Struthio camelus: one gene and its partner. The protein of the gene in region 1 interacts with the protein of each later gene in a pairwise test. Links are inferred from orthologs where the notes say so. Each region holds a gene or a part of one and is shown on either strand. Other genes may lie near its edges.

The links. The genes of interacting proteins can lie anywhere in the genome.
Region 2: the proteins of VENTX (region 1) and TBX22 interact in binary tests that used the Homo sapiens proteins (3 or more experiments, as listed by UniProt). The two-hybrid records come from large-scale screens. The link is inferred for Struthio camelus from reciprocal best matches to the Homo sapiens genes VENTX and TBX22.

Annotation. Positions count from the first base shown.
Region 1 is NC_090948.1:18,024,824-18,033,050, reverse strand, and holds VENTX (homeobox protein VENTX), read right to left. Parts: upstream 3,208-8,227; coding exon 2,982-3,207; intron 2,696-2,981; coding exon 2,475-2,695; intron 2,343-2,474; coding exon 2,031-2,342; 3' UTR 509-2,030; downstream 1-508. UniProt on the Homo sapiens protein: May be involved in ventralization.
Region 2 is NC_090952.1:27,127,368-27,135,185, forward strand, and holds the start of TBX22 (T-box transcription factor TBX22), read right to left. Parts: upstream 3,261-7,818; coding exon 3,125-3,260; intron 3,031-3,124; coding exon 2,898-3,030; intron 2,436-2,897; coding exon 2,334-2,435; intron 1,792-2,333; coding exon 1,617-1,791; intron 1,535-1,616; coding exon 1,370-1,534; intron 1,274-1,369; coding exon 1,209-1,273; intron 1,129-1,208; coding exon 1,043-1,128; intron 1-1,042. UniProt on the Homo sapiens protein: Probable transcriptional regulator involved in developmental processes. This is major determinant crucial to palatogenesis.

The sequences.
Region 1 (8,227 bases):
AAGCCTTTCATCTCTTCCTCAGCTCCCCCCGGGGCCAGCTGCCGTGGTTCCGCCCCCCACTCCATCTGGTGGTGGGCAGCCCGGCCCCTTCAGGGGGTTGGGCCCCCAGTCCCGGTACCGCCGGCTCTGACCTCGGAGCACGAGGGGCTGACGTACAGGGTAAATAAAGCATCTGGGGGAGAGGTGGGGTCCCTCGTCGGTGCCCATACAAAATTACATGGGGTGACCTCTACCAGTGTCCCCTTGAAAAGGGGCAGCCAAGTCGAGTTTAACACTCCAGACTATTTGCGGGTAAATTGTGCATTTATTGACCTTGACTGTTGACTGTTATTGACCTATCCTTAAAATATGCTTGTGTTAGAAAAACATATCTGCCATTGCAGAGCTCTTCTGGAAACAACTGAATCCTTAATTACATTCGAAAGAGAGACAGAGACAGAATTTCAGATCCCCCCTCCTTTGGATCAATATAGTCGTTTTAGTTAAATTTGAATTTGAGAAATAAGACTCCATTCAGTGGGAAATTTTATTTCGTGACAAACAACTTTTCTTAATCCCAAACTGCATCACACTTTTGGAAAGATCTAAACAAGATAAATAGCAGCTGAACTCTTGTTACATTTCTTAAAATCCTTCAAAACAAAGATTAGAGTTGTATTAATTGCGCAAGTGCAAGCAAATAGCAACATCTCAAAGGATTGAAAAAATACAACATAGATTACAAAATAATCAAGGAGACTTCCAAATGCGACAGCTACTCAGAAAATCAGAGCACATAGTGTTGCTGTGAACCAGGCAAGTGTAGTCAAGCAAGAGGCTGGCCCCTGCATAAAAAAGAAAATAGGTGCATTCAAGGATGACCGACAGAGAACCTTCAAACAATTCATTATATGAGCCCAGATTGCAAGTGCACCGGAAGTTTTTTAATAACCCCGGAGACTGATTCTAAACTGATGGAAATTTTTATGGGTCTTTTCATGTCGGTTGACAGTTGACTTGAAAAGATTTATGACAACTTACATCAGTCAAGGATCAATTCTCACAGCTCTTTCTCTACCCTGAAATCAGAACATTTTTGACCATGAATTTTCTAGAGCGTTATTCAAATAAAAAATGCATAGCACAATGCTCATGAAACAGATTGACAGCTATTTAAACAAAGAGCTTTGGACAATTGCATTTATTTTGATAATCACTCTCATACCCTGTTAGGTGTGTGTGAGATGCCGAGATAATATGTTATTGGGACTCTTCAAATGATAATGCAAGTCCAGATCCTTCCCAAGGCCTATTTAGGTGAGAGGTGCTTATTAATCTACTGAGGCCACCCCATGAAACTGCGAGGAGGTGCTTACATAATACTTTTAACTAAAGAGATAGCTTTTTACATCTTGAAATTGTATATGATATGGTATTTAAAGGGGTCCAAGAGAAAGGATTCATTCTGCTGCTGTAAGAAGCCCAGCATTTAATATTTGTAACTAGGTCAAGATGCATCCATATATGCATGCTTAAAGACATGATCCCACCATAGAAAGTGCCACCTGGGAAGTACCTGAAGGGGTAAGGAGTCTCCTGTTTTAGGGAACGGGGGGAAATTCATAGTTTTTTTACACTCCTCCTCAGTAAATTTCAGGGTTCAGCAAATGAAAGGCTACTCAGATTTCCCACCAGAGCCAGAGCAGATCTAAGGATTAAGGAGTCCGTGCTTCCTTTCATAGGGAGGTGGTCTCTTTCAGGGCAGGATAAGTAGCTCTGCAATCCTTGTGGAAGGAAGTCAGGTCAAAGCTGGAAAGTGTTTAGGTTTATTAAGAGATTCCATTTGTATTAATACTGGCCCCACCACGTCTGTATTTTACACCGTTGCCTATAAACGCAGGGGCCTGAAGTCCACGACCCAGACCATGCAGTCTCTGTAGAATACCTTGCTCTGTGCCTCACCACAGCTCCACCAGCCAGTTACAGACCGGGGCAGCCCGCATCGCTGGCATTAGTGCAAATCCTCCTCAGGTAGAGTCCATGCCAGCGGGTCAGACGCCCAGCAGGAAAGCTCTGGGATCCCGGTACCCTACAAAGCAGGGCGCTGCCCAAAAGCCCGGAGGCTGCGCCCGGCAGGCGCTGCTGAGGTCCAAGGCATGCGCCGGCAGCGCCGCTAAGGCGAAGCCGCCGGGGGCGGCCTCCTGCCGGGGCAGCGGCGGCGGCCGGGCTGCGTAGGCGAGGGGCAAGGGCACAAGCCCGCTCTGAGGTCCGTAAGGGAGAGGGGGGCTGCAGAAAGGCTCCGGCCTCAGCTCCTGCAGCTGCCGCTTCAGCTTCATCCGGCGGTTCTGGAACCAGGTCTTGATCTGGAGGGTCGAGTGAGATGAGGAGGGGTGAAGTCACAACTTCTCCCCCGGCGGCGCCCATCCCCATCCCCATCCCCATCCCCATCCCCATCCCAGCCTCATCCGCACCCCACCCCACCCCACGCCGCTCACCTGCACCTCCGAGAGCTGCATCTTGCCGGCCAGCTTGCGCCGCTCGGCGGCCCCCAGGTACTGGTGCCGCTGGAAGGAGCTCTCCAGGGTGCTGATCTGCTCCGCGCTGAAGGCCGTGCGCAGCCGCCGGGCGCCGCGGCCGCCGGGCTCCTCGGAGCTGCCGCTCTCGGGCTCCGCCGCTGCCGGGGGCTGCCCCGCTCCCCACGCCCGCTCACCTACTCCTGGCGACAGGGCGAGAGAGAAGGGGGATCAGCCAGGCCTGGGGTCCCTGGAAGTGCCAGCCCGCTCGCCTCTTTTCCCTCTCCCCGGGCTCCGGGGAGGCTCGCTGCCCCTTGCAGGGCGAGAGGAAACAGGACCAGGCGCCCCTTCCCCGGGGGAAATTTGCGGACAGGCCCTGGCACAGGTACGGGTGAGCAGGCTCCGGTCCCTGGGGGCACAAGGCCCTTCCCTCCTGTCCCCAGCAGGACTGCACCACGCAGCCCCGACGGCGGCGGAGGCCGCGGTTACCTGCAGCGGGGGGGCCGGCCGGGCGCTCCCGGCTCCTGCCGCCTCTCCCGGCCCTCGGGCCGGCGCCCTCTTTCCCGCTCCACTCGCTCGGGCCGGGGCTGGAGCCGGAGTCGGGCCGGGGCCCCGCGGCCGCGGAAGCGGCTCGACGCGGAGCACCCTCGGCGGGGTTCCTGGGGGCCTGGCTGCTTTGGGATAGCCACTCCACAGAGAAAGGGGCCTTGGTCATCCTGCTCTTGTCTCGGAGCTGCCGGGAAGGAGGGTGCTGGGGAGCACGGCCCCTCCTTTATACCGCAAGTCCCGGAGGAAAACGTTGTTTGTGTAAATACACATCAAAGGGCCAGATAAGTATCATCTAATTGCCATCAGTCCTCCCCCTCAACAAAAGATACTGTTCACACATTGCCACAGCTCGAAGAGGCTCGGCTCCGCGGTGTCTGCCCCTGGAGGAGTTCACTCTGCCGTCAGTGATTTACAGCACTTGTTACATCCTATCCCCATGCAAATGGCATTTATAGCGCTGAGCGGCCTCAAAGGGCGCGGGGGAATGCATCCCGGGGGCGCACAGGGACCAGCATCCCGCAGGTGCTGGCAGGACCGGGATCGCCGGGGGCTCCCAGTCCCCGTTCCCCGAGAGATGACACTTTTCAATTCTCCCTTCAAGCAGAAGTTCCACTTTCTAAAGGGATCTTCCCAAACCTGCTCCTCCCTGGGCTGAGTACCGTGCTATCGAGACAGCCTGAGGCAGGCGGGTGGGCAGACTCACTGAACGCATTCTCCTGGGTCTGCTGCACCAGGTTATAAACACCACACACGGGGAGAAGGGTTTGGAGGAGAAGGCTGTGAAACAAAAAAAGGTAAAGGTCGAGCCTGTTGGTTGGTACCAATCGGCTTATTCTCGGCTGCTTACATAAAGTGTTTTTTTCTGAACTAAAGAATCAGAAAAAGACAATTATGCCCTTAACTTTCTGCTGAGGCTGTAGGATTTATGTCATATCTTCCCTCCCAGATCTTTCCAACTGTGCAGGTTACACAGGTTTCCCTGCTATCTTACTCCCCCTGGCTTTCCTGTTACTTCCTTAAGAACGCCTTTCAGGAGCGTTCCCATCCATCTCTGGGTTCTGTGGGCACTAGGAACACTTGGCTGTTGCAGTAATGCCTTTGCAGTACATTGACAAAAGGTTTCTAGTGGCCCTGCTATTTTACTGACAGTTGTGCTTCCACTGTACAGTTTCCACTGTACAGTAACCATGAATCCTCTCCTATTTCCCCTCCCTCCCCTCCTGTGCTAGGACAGAGTGGGACTTTCTACCGGCACAATTATATCTCTGATAATTCCTATCATACTCCTGCCTGGCATTAGTCTGCCTCCGGAAATCACAACTGCATGTCTAATCTGCCTGTCCTTGCTCTGGTTTTCCTCTTTATATTCTTCCTCTGCCATCTGCACACAAACCCAGTGCTTCATTGCTCATTTAACCTGTGACTTGTTCTGTCATTCTGCCACTCCTGCTGGATTTCTCAGCGTTCACTTCATTTGTGATCACAGTCAATGTAACCATGGCTCTAGTTCTTGGCCTGTCAGAGATAGAGGGCTTGAGGAGTGAACCCCTCCTACTTATTTTTTTAGTTTATGTCTAAACTAAATTTATTTATTCCATTTTAATCTTAGATACCTCTCTTTCTTTATATCCATAAGTAAAAAGTTTTACTCAATCTATTTTCATCTTTCCTAAAACCTACATTTCAGCCGCCTATTTACTCACAATGTGGTTGCTATATCCAGCCATCATGAATTCCTAAGGTTTTCCACTCACTAGCAAATTTTTCCTTGAATGAAGCTCAAGTTTGACTTATGAGCCCCTTCTAAGCTCAGTCTCTCCCTGCTTGTTCATTCCTGCGGCATAGTCTGAGTCCTCTGCTCTACCAGTGATGCCATTGTTTGAGTGTTTGTCTGTCTGATAAGACAAACAAGAATATGAATCTAGCTGTTGCCTTTATTTAAAGGTGGCTAATAACCAATCCAGAATCTGTGGGTACTACCACAACCAGGCATGACCACAGTCCTCCTGGAGTCCTTTGTTTCTGGCCACATAGGGATCTAGATACAGGCCAAACACTTGAATTGAACATAAATTTCTCATAAAAATCATCACAAACAAACAACCACAGCCATACCCTTGAGCCTGCTAAATATGCTTCCTGGAGGGAACTAAGGGTACTGGTGTTAAAACGTCTAAGCAGAGGTTCAAGCATTAATGCCTCCTGTACGTCTGTTGCATGCCTAAACAAGTCCACAAATGCCTCTTGCATGGACAAGGCTCTGCAGGATGCTACATTAGTTTTCTCAGCTGTGTGAAAGACTCTGATCCATATCTAATGACTTAAAAACTCATCTGTTTATCCATCCCAAGCATTTTCTGATTAACAATAGAAAATTGAGAAACTTCACTTGTCCAAGCTGCACAAGATTAATTTTAAATTTCCTGTGTTTTATACATTCCGCCACCCCATCCCCGGAATACTTCAAGCACAGGTTCTTAACTACCTTTTTCAATAAGTAAATGTGAAGACTTTTACCCTCCCCTCCCCCCACCCCCAAGCCTGAGGAAATATTCTAAAACATCAGATTTTCTAAGCATTTACTTATCAGCCAGTTCTGGTGCCAACATATTGCATAGACCTGACCAAACAGGTAGGAGGTATACGGAGAGGAGGCACAGAAGAATCTACTCTGTTAACTGAGTTAATAGAGCTGAATGACAAGTCCCTTGAGTCAGCTATACTTAGCATGTGGCCTGGCAACAGCATCTCCAGTGAGCACTGGGAATACTAGTGCCGTTTTGCTTGCCCAGAGAATCCAGCCAAGCCTCCTTGGGAAAAGCGAGAGCAAAAAAAAGCAAAATGTCTTTCTCAAGGACTAAATTCTCATGACCATTAAAAAAAAGGAAGTGCTATTTTTCTGCAGGATTCTTTCTCAGTTTGAATTTCCTTAATTAATTCAACAGCATTCTGCATCATAGACGGGGCCAAATAGGAGATAAATTGGTCTCTTGTGCTCAGGAAGAGGATTATTTCCATTCCTAGTCTCTATATAATATTATATAATTTTATGTAATATAAAATATTATATACATAATCTATGCACACACCTACTTATACACACAGAATGTATACCTGTACATGTAGTCTGTCTGCAAGACTTCCTTTTAACTATCTTTATTTTATGTCAAAGAACAAAGGCACTGGCAAGCTGTTGGGTAGGACACAATACATGACATACGATGGTGTTCTGAAAAATAGAAAGTCTCAGGTTTTAGCATCCACTGATACATCTGTCACATAATTTCTTTACAGATTTTAATACATTTTCACCATCTGAGCTGCAAATGACATCTTCATACACTGATGGTTTATTAATTGCCTTTTATTGAGACAAACGTCACAGCCAAAAGATGGTGTCAAAGGCTGAGCTCTCAGAGACACAAACCAATCCCATTCTGACAAGGTTAAACCAAATGTTCCCTTCTACACAAAACGTGAGCTTAAATATTCTGTTTAGATGGCAAATTACTTCTAGATGTAATGACTGTTACAGTATTTAATAGCTGCTAGTTTAATTTTATCTACATTTCTTAAGCTGCCTTCTTTCTGTTTCTATGCATTATTCATGAGGTGTTTGTTTGAAAATCTACTGCTAAACCGTGATTCAGAAAATACCATCTTTAAAATCAATTGATATTTCTAATAGGATGAGAACCTGCTCATGCGGAAGTCTTTGGGAATTTTGCCAAAGACATAAAGAGAACGGAGAGGTCCTCCCAGCTCTGCTGCTACAAGGAAGTAGAGATAAAGAGCTCAGACATACAGACATAACTGCCACAGCAGAAGTCTTAAGATCCATTTGCTGAAGATGAAGACAATACTTCATGTAGATGTTTGTTCAATAGACACTTGCTCTCTCTGGGGAGCCAGAACCTTCTCCACAAAAATAAGGACCACCAACTTCCTGATGATCAAAGGGGACTGAGGATCAAAATGCCAAATGCCAGTCCAGGCCATGCCGTTCTGGGGAGGTGATGTAGAAGGGAACATTTTAGCATCTTGGAGAATTAAACTGAGTTGAGATTTATTACTTGATATAGATCCCCTAAGTTTCTTGTGAGCAGGAGCTGCTTTCAAAGAGGCTAAGAAGAAAGATCGGCTTTATAGATGTCTGGCTGGGACAGGTAGGATGGGATCAAGACAACAGTGCTTATACAAGGCAGCTCTATCAAAACGTATACACACAAGGCTGGGTTCAGGCTTAGGAGGTTCTGCAGAACTGGCTATTCCTGTTTGGATCCCTATTAAGCAGTTGATAACAGATATATTTCAGGATAACAGCCCCAGCCTTTGAAAACTAATTACTGCTCCACATCTTGCAGAGCAAAGGCCAGCCCTGCCCCAATGGGCCAGGTCACAGCCCAGCAGAGGGGCAGTACTGTGCTCAGAGATATCCCCTTCCCACTGAAACTTTGGAGGAACTGAAGAGAAAGAGTACCTCTGGGCTACCAAGTACTTTGAGGTCCCCACCGCAGCTGAGCTGGAGAAAGCTGCCGCCCACTTGGCCTTGCTGCAGTAGGGGTACACAAGACAGAAGGTAGGCACTCTCCTTTTGTAAAAGCAAGTTGTCCCTTCTCATAGAGAGTCCTGTGAGACTACAGCAAAGTGAGCATGTGCTTCTGGGAGCAGCTGGGTGGTGATGCAATGAAAAGAGCAAAAAGGGTTTCTTAGGACATGCAGGAAGTTGCGTGTTCATCTGCAGAACTGTAGTACTTCTATGATGGGATGCCCAGGGAAGCAAGGGCTGCTGGTACGTGCCATATGATTTATGTGGGTTTTGCCCTGGTACGTTTATCCAATCATTGTAATTTCTGAGGAATCACTCTTTAGGACTTAAAAGCATTACTAGTGGCCTTTAATCAAGCTCTCTATTATCAATTATTATAATCTCTCCTCCTTGACAGAATAAGAGGTGTTTTCCAGGAGAAATAAAAAGACCATATGTGCACAAATACCAGGAGGGCCTGGAATAAACACAGTGACAATGCATAGATGAAAATCAAATGTTTCATCAAGCTTGGAATTGATCTAAAACAATACAGCACTCAAAATGCCAAGAGCTCCCATGGCCCCTTACCATAAGGTTGTTACTAGCAGCTTAGCAGAGCCAGTGAAATATTTTAAAAAGATACATATTCTGCGGA
Region 2 (7,818 bases), on another chromosome or scaffold:
TCACAACCTTCCAACCAGGTTCAAAAGCAGCATTTTACACGACGCCTCTTCTGAAAAATGTAGCTACCTTTGCGACCGATAAACCTCTTACTTTCTCCTATATCGTTACAAATCTGATTTTTATGTCTTTGTATTTCTACGCTTGTACAGCATAAAATCTGTATTTGCTGTGATAAAACCAGCCATATTTTCCCGGAGAGACAGGAAAGATTATGGATGTGCTAATACAAATGTCTTCGAAAAGTTTATAACGTAAATAAGAGTTAGACTGGCAGCTTTAATCTTAAATTAGAGCTCTCCCGTGCACAAATGCGCCGTTAGTTTTTCCCTCGGCGCTCTGAGTAGGCACTTTCCAGGCAATATTTCCAAAAGCCATTTTTCTGCAAAAGGACTGCAAGGGATAGACCTGCATAAACCAGGCGGAGGGAGACGATTTTCACTAACAAACTTTTCCATCTTTCCCATATCAAAGGGGCTGTGGGGCTGCTATGTCCTGAATATGCGATAAATTTCGACTGAAAAAAGCGTTTGTACAGTAGAGCTACAGTAGACACCCGCATTTGCTACTGTCACGTCTGCAGATAACGGTCTACAAAAGGTGTGGAAACAATCAGAACAACAGGACCAAAGCGATAACAACCTTATTCTAAATTAACCTTTTGCATATCTAGACTATTTTTCTCCGTATCTAGATCTTACTGCAGAGGTGCATCGAGCCGTTACTCGTACCTCCACGGGGCCAGCGCTCTGCTTCTTAACTCGATTTTTACAGGAGGTTTTTCTTTTCTTTTTTTTTTCTTTTTTTCTTTTTTCTTTTCTTTTCTTTTTTTTTTTCTTTCTTTTTTTTTTTTTTTTTTGCAGAAGACACGCGGCGTTGGATTCGCAGCACGCCGCACTTGCCGCCCGCTCGCCCTGCTTCACCCCGCCGGGACGTCAAGCCCCGCGCGCGCTTGCCGAACCGCCCGGGCGCGGCGGGACGCGCCGCCCCCGCGCAACAGCGGCGGCCGCTCCGCGGCTTTCCCCGCGCTCTCGGCGGACTCACCCTGGCTCTCGGCGCCGAAAGCCGGGAAGTCGAGGGCGAGCGGGGGCCGCCAGGGCAGCGTCTCCAGGAGCCCGTCCAAAACGCCCCTGCGGAGCGAGAGCGCGGTTGACGGCGGCGGCGGCGGCTGCGCGGCGCGGCCGGGGCTGCGCGGAGCCGCCGCCGTTACCTGTTGCGCCCGGGGTCGCGGAAGCCCTTGGCGAAGGGGTTTCTGTCGATTTTCAGCTTGGTGATCTGCGGGGGGGGGGGAGCGAGAGGGAGGCGTCGGGGCGCGGGCGGGCGCGCTGCGCGGGGCGGCGCGGCGCTGCGCGGGGCGGCGCGGTGCGGTACCTGCTGGTTTTGGTAGGCGGTCACCGTGGTGAACTGGGTCTCGCCGAAGGAGAAGGTCTGCACGCCGGCGGCCGGCAGCGCCTGCAGCGGCGCCCCGTCGGGGCGGCCGTCCCGGGCGATAACGTGCACGCGCGGCTGGTACTTGTGCATCGACTGCAGGATGATCTGCGCGGCGGAGCGGAGCGCGGCGCCGTGAGCGCGGCCCCGACGGCCCGCGCCCCGCGCCCGCGCCCCGCTCCACACCTACATGCCCCTTGTCGTCCATCTCGTTGTTGGTGAGCTTGACGCGGTCGAAGCTGATGACCTGCCGCATCCACGTCTCCCCCGAGCACGGGGAATCGGGGTGGATGTAGAGCCGCGGCGTGATGCACGAGTGGTCCGTGTTGCCCGCCACCATCCACTGCGAGCTGTGGTAGACGTACCTGCGCCGCGGGGGGCACAGGCGGCTGCAGGCGGCCCGACGGCGCCCGCTCCGGCTCGGCCCTGCCCGCCGCCGCGGCAGCACCCCCGGAGCCACGCGTGCCTGCAGACCCCTGCCCAGCCACCTGCCTATGCGCTCGGCGTTTTAGAGGCGTGCATATACATATATATACGCACACATATCAGCTGCAGGTGTATATACATATGCACTCTGTATTATGCATTATATATCTTTGAGATGCAGGTACAGATGCATTCCGTATTATACATATATCTCAGGTGCACATATATACATATGCATACTGTGTACACATTTCTCTCTCCGATGCAGAGCTATATCACACATGCATTCTATATTATACCTATCTATATCGCGGGTGCAGATTCATATACATGCATTCTGTATTTTACATCTATATGTACGTATCTCAGGTGCAGAGGGGGCTGATCAGGCTGCTGATTGCAAATACGGGTGTCGCACGCGGGGACCCCCGTGTCCGTGTGTCCGAGGCGCGGGGCGGCGGCAGCGGGGCCCGGCCTTTACCTGTATCTTTTGGAGTCCACCGGGACCACGTCGATGGCGATGTAGTACTGCTTCAGCGGCTCCAGCCCCTTCACCTTCACCCTCACGGAGGGGAACATCCGCCTGCAGGCACAGGGCGGCGGTTAGCGGGGAGGATGGTTTGGGGGGTGGGGGGCGTTCGTAGCCAAAGCTGCCGTTTTAAGAGTGGAAGGAGATTGGAAAAACTAAATGGGCACCAAAAAAAAAAAAAGTCCTCAAAACAGTAACAAAAAACAACAAACCTGCAACGAAGGAGAACCAAAAAATAAAAATAAAGCGGGGAGAGGGGGACGAGAAGAAACGGGCGCAGGAGGCAGGGAGGAGGAGGATGATGACTCGCAGCGGGGATGCTCAGCGCAGCGTCGGCCCCGCGGCTCGGGGGGCGGCCGGGCCGCGGCTCGGGGGGCCGGGGGGGAGGGGGGGGCTGCGGCGGCGGCAGCCCCCCGAGCCAGCGCACCGCGGCCTGCAGCGGCGCCGGGCGGCGACCCCCGACGGGGCCCCCGCCGCGGCCGGCGCTGCCCCGAGCCCGGCCCGCGGCGCCGCTACCTGCCGGCCTTGGTGATGATCATCTCGGTGCCGATGTCGTGAAACCTCCTCCAGAGCTCGGAGCCCTGCAGCTCCACCTGCACCTCGCCCCGCGCCTCCCGGCTCTCCGCCGCCGCCGCCTTGGGCCGCTTCTCTGCGGGGACACAGACGGGGCGGCTCGGGGGCTGCGGGCCGGGGCCGGGCGGCGGCTCCGCGCCCCCCCGCGGCCCCGCCGGGGCGCTACGAACCCGCGTCGGGCGCTTTGCGGCTCTGCCCGCGCCCGGCCCCGGGCTCCTCGTCGCGGGCATCCGGCAGCTTCCTCTTGGCCGATCTCCCCACCAGCGCCTCCACGGAGAAGGCGTGAGCCCGGGAGCTGAGCGCCATCCCCCCCCCCCCCCCCGCCCTGCGCCGGCAGCGGCGAAGCCTCCCGCCGGGCTCAGGCGGCCCTCGGGGCTCCGGCCCGCCGCTCCATCGGCGCCCGGGCAGCCCCGCGGGGGGCCCGGCACCCCCCGGCACCCGCCGGCCCCGGCCGCGCCGCTCCCGTCGGGGGGCAGCGGCCGCGGCGAGAGCCGCTCGCTTCCGACCGAGCCGACAGACGGCTGCAGCCTCCACTGTTTGTTTTGGAAACTGGTGGGAGCATAAGAAACATTGAGTGACATTTCGTAGGGCTAAAAGGGGGGCGGAGGGGAGGGGAAAGCGAGCGGCGGAGGGGAAGAGCGGGGGAAGAGGAGCCGGCCCCGTCTAGGATCAATAAAAGAGTTACTGTTCTCCATTAAATTGTAAAACTCAAAGAAATTTGACATAATTGCACACTAGGGGCCACTTTTCCAACAAAAGTGCAAATAACGTTTAACCAGAACCAGCATCAAAAAAAAAAAAAAAAGGTGCATTTTGGCTTTCCCAGTACGGCTCAAGGCCCCGGTGCGGCTGGCCCGGCCGGGCTGTCCCACGGGGACTGCGCTCTGCCCGCAGCACGGCGAGCCGGGGTGCCCTGCCCGCCCCCTCCTCTCCCGTGTGGCAGCGCGGAAACGGGGGGGGGGGTCAGATTTTAGCTCCCCGTCGGGTTTTTTTTTTTTCCCCCTTTGTTTTACAAAGGCAGAGAATCTGCCTCCGCCCGGCCTGCTCTGGCGTGACCCCAGGGCTGTTTCCACGGCTCCGCTTCAAAGCGCGTCCCCGCAGCGGCAGCTGCAGCGAATTAGGGGCCAAAAGCCGAGTTTTCCACTCGGGCGGGTCCCGGGAGCCGCTGCGCGCCCGGCCGTCGGGGGCCGCGGCTCTCCGCGCTGCCGCAGACGCGGCCGTGCCCGGGCCCCCCCCGCCCGCCCCGCGCCAGCTGGGAGCCGGCCGGGCCGTCGGGGGCCGGGTGTCCCCCCCGGCGGTCCCGCCGCGGCCCCGCCGCTGCCGGAGCCGCGCAGGGAGGGAGGCGGCGGGGGCAGATGGCAGCGGGCGGCAGCGCGGCTCCAGCGGCCGCCGACGTGCGGCTGCCCGGGCCGGGGGTCTCCGCGCCCGCGGAGGGGCTGCGCCAGCGGGACCCTCGGCCCCGGGGTCCCACAGTCCCGCCTGGGCACTGCCCTGCCAGGAGCAGCTCGGTGAGTTGGGGGGGCGAAAGTGACTCGCAGCAGCTAGAAAAAGGAGGGAGGGAAAGGGGAAAATTTGTTTGTTTTTTTTTTTTTTTAAAAAAAAGGTAAATTCGCAAATGAGAAGGGAGCGCAGCGGCGGGGAGCCCCCGGCCCTCCCCACGGGGCTGGCTGCTGCCCGGCCCGTCGCAGAGGAGCGGGGTGTCTGCAGCGGAGCGGGGGCTGCCGGGTCACCCGCAGCCGAGGTGCTGGGGCGGCGGGGTGCGCGGCTCCCAGGTGGTAATACAGCTCCCCGGGAGCCAGGTCCAGCTTTGGGGGGCAGGTGCTAGCGAGAGGCAAAATGCCTAATTCCCTTCCTGAGTTTTAGCTAAGGACCATCCCCTCCTACCCCATAAGTTCATCCAAGCCTAGCAGCCACCCTGGGAGTGGGGCTGGGGCAGCTGCCCGGAAAGCAGAGCTTTGCTCCCTTTGCTGTGCCCTGGGGAGGGAAGGGGAGATGGGTCCTTCCGGCTGCAATGGTTCAAAACCAGACCGAGCCCTGTCCTGGTTTTCCTTGCACCGGGGCTTTGGGGAGCGTCAGGCTCCTGGGTGCTCCAGAGCTGCCCTCTGGCCTGTGAGGTGTTCATAAAACCTCTGCTAGGACAGAGCAAGATTATTGAAAAAAATGTGCAAGTGGCTAAAATTCAGAGGTCAGCTAAGAAAGCAGCGTGCGTAGGGTGGAGGCTGCAGGAACATCCTTGCTGCCCGCAGTTCGCGGCGTCTTTGGTGGCCAGGGAGGGAAGGGAATAGGATACACGGCTCATCTTCCTGTTACCTTTCCAAGCACTTCTGTAGTTTCGGAGGAAGCTTTGGTTTATTCAGGTGTGAAACCTTTCAGGATTTCTTGCAATATTCGTCAGGGTCTGTTCCCTGATGCATACATTTCTTCCAAGCCTTGGACTGGCAGCAGAACGAAAACTGCTGGCTGCAGAGAGACAACCAAACAGGCCACTGCCTGACAAGGCTCCTCTCAAACGTTGTGTGCTTTAAACGCCACAGCATCGGGCTGTTGTCCTTGAATACCACTGCAAGGACACCCGTTACTCAGCTTCTGGGGAGCCTGCCATGTCGGACACGGGCCCGCATACAGATTTAGGAGCTAAAGGTTACCTTCCCCTTTGAAAAGGAATCTCTGCAAGATCCAGCTGAGCTCACATCGAAATCATTTTGGGAAACCAACAGCAAAGTTTGTAACGGCAGTTGGGACAGACGCAAAGAAGCTGTACAAAGGAGCAGATGGAACGATATTCCTAGAAGTTTCTTCCCTAGGCTTTTCTACAGAAGTGTGTGCACCTGGCATTATATGCCGGCTGGAGATAGCAGCCCAGATGCTGGAATGAGTGCCGGAGTTTCCTACCATGGATTTCAAAGAGAGTAAGATGCTGATTAACTTTTGTTTTAGCTTTTACCGAGGCCAGTGGTACTTACCTTCCTTTGCCAGGTGTCTCTGGAGATGGGCTACGCTACGTTGTAGTCGGGATTATTTGTTTCTTCCTACAACGTAGACTCAGCCCTTCCTCTCATTTTACCCAACGGTGGCCTCGCAAAGCCCCAAACCCTTTTGACATGATTTTCCTTAGTATTAGGCATGCTCAGAGGTACCTGCCCGTGAGGAGACGGATATCGAAGCCATGTCCACATTTCAGGAGGGCTTTGCCAGGGTGACTTTAGTTCTGGTGCGGCCGGCACAGCCAGAAATTCATAGGCGTTGGGAGGGTGGAAGAGACCTTGAGATTATCTCCTTCTGCTCTAACCCTGAGGCAGGATCAGCCCTACCTGTGCAGACACTTACTTCTCCTTAAAAAGAGACATGAAACAAATTTCATGAACGTGGTCATAATTACAACAACATAAGCTCATGATTTAAATGCAAGGTGAACTACAGGTCCTTCCCGCAGCATGGCCACGAGTGACTTTTTGTCCTTACCAATTCTGATAGAAGCCAGCTGAGGGCATTAAGTGTAAACTTTTATCTCTGCTGACATGACATATTATTAAAAAGTATTTCAAGTAATCTTTTATTTCCTTCGCATTGCAACACATTTCAAGAACTTGGACAAGGATCAACCAACCCTTTTTAATTTCCTACAATGAAAAATAAAACAAAAATAAAGCACAATTGAGATGATATAATCAGGAACATTTTGAGGGTTTAGGTCAAATTAATATGTCAGAGAAGTGTTTTCAGGGGACTTGGAAAACTTTAATCTGTCAAAGACTGACTCAGACCGTTCTTGAGCTTTGTAATCTTATTGTCTTTAACAAATTATTTGATGGTATGTAATATATTACCGTCATCAGAAAATCGAGCAAATAATCATTTGGCATAAAGTTCAGATTGACTAACTTAATTTTAAGGCAAATGTTATACAATACGCTCTGAAATGTTTGCTTAACTTGGAAATGATCTTTTAATACTGTCCATTAATCCATTAAAGCACACAGGTAAATTCCCAACACAGGCTTTTCTGAACACTTTATGGTCAGACTTTGAGAGATTTAATTTTGCTCAAGCTGCGCTTGGTTTTGCCAAGATTTACTTTGCATTTAACAAAACAAAACAAAACAAAAACCCCAAACCAAACAAAACGTGACTTGTGGCTTAGGGATAACATTTGAAGTATACAGATCACCTGCACCCAATTATGCATCTAATACTTTTATCACTTATATCTCCATCTGATATGTCACAGATTTATACAAAACTGCAGTTAAAAATTTGATACTGAGACATTTTCTGCTCTAACAGGCAAACTGGGGAGATTGTTCGTTCCCAGCTTTGAGAATCGTTAGCAAGAAAATCTTTTTGTTAGCATTTTGGAAAAAGGGTTTCCCGTCCTGCGGATTTTCCACTGTACTTTTATATGATCCTAATATGAACGGTATTTTCAAGCAATAGCAGAGTTACACAGTAGAAACGCTCTAAATGGACGTAAGCTACCTAAATATTTTGACAACAAAAACCTTTGAAAATACAACTTTCAGCATTATATCCTTCAGACGGGTTAAACACAATAAACAGCCCTTTGAAAAGCACTGGCTTTGCTTGTTTCTAACTCGCACCTTTAGCAGTAAAAGGTGAGAACAGCCTTCCCCGGTGGCCAGGGGCTTTTCAGTGCCTCCTTTTTCCAGCGGCAGCTGGAGGCTCCCTTGGAGGCAGGGTCTAACCAGGGGAACGCAGCACTGCGCCTTCACGGGTCTTTGCAAAAGCCGCCGTTGCATTTGTTCTCTGAAGTGCAGCAGAGCATATCTGAGATAGAGAGTGAACCCTGACTCCTGTAGCGCAGCCTCCGCCGCTGCTTTGCCGCCGCATCCTCGGCACCGAGCGC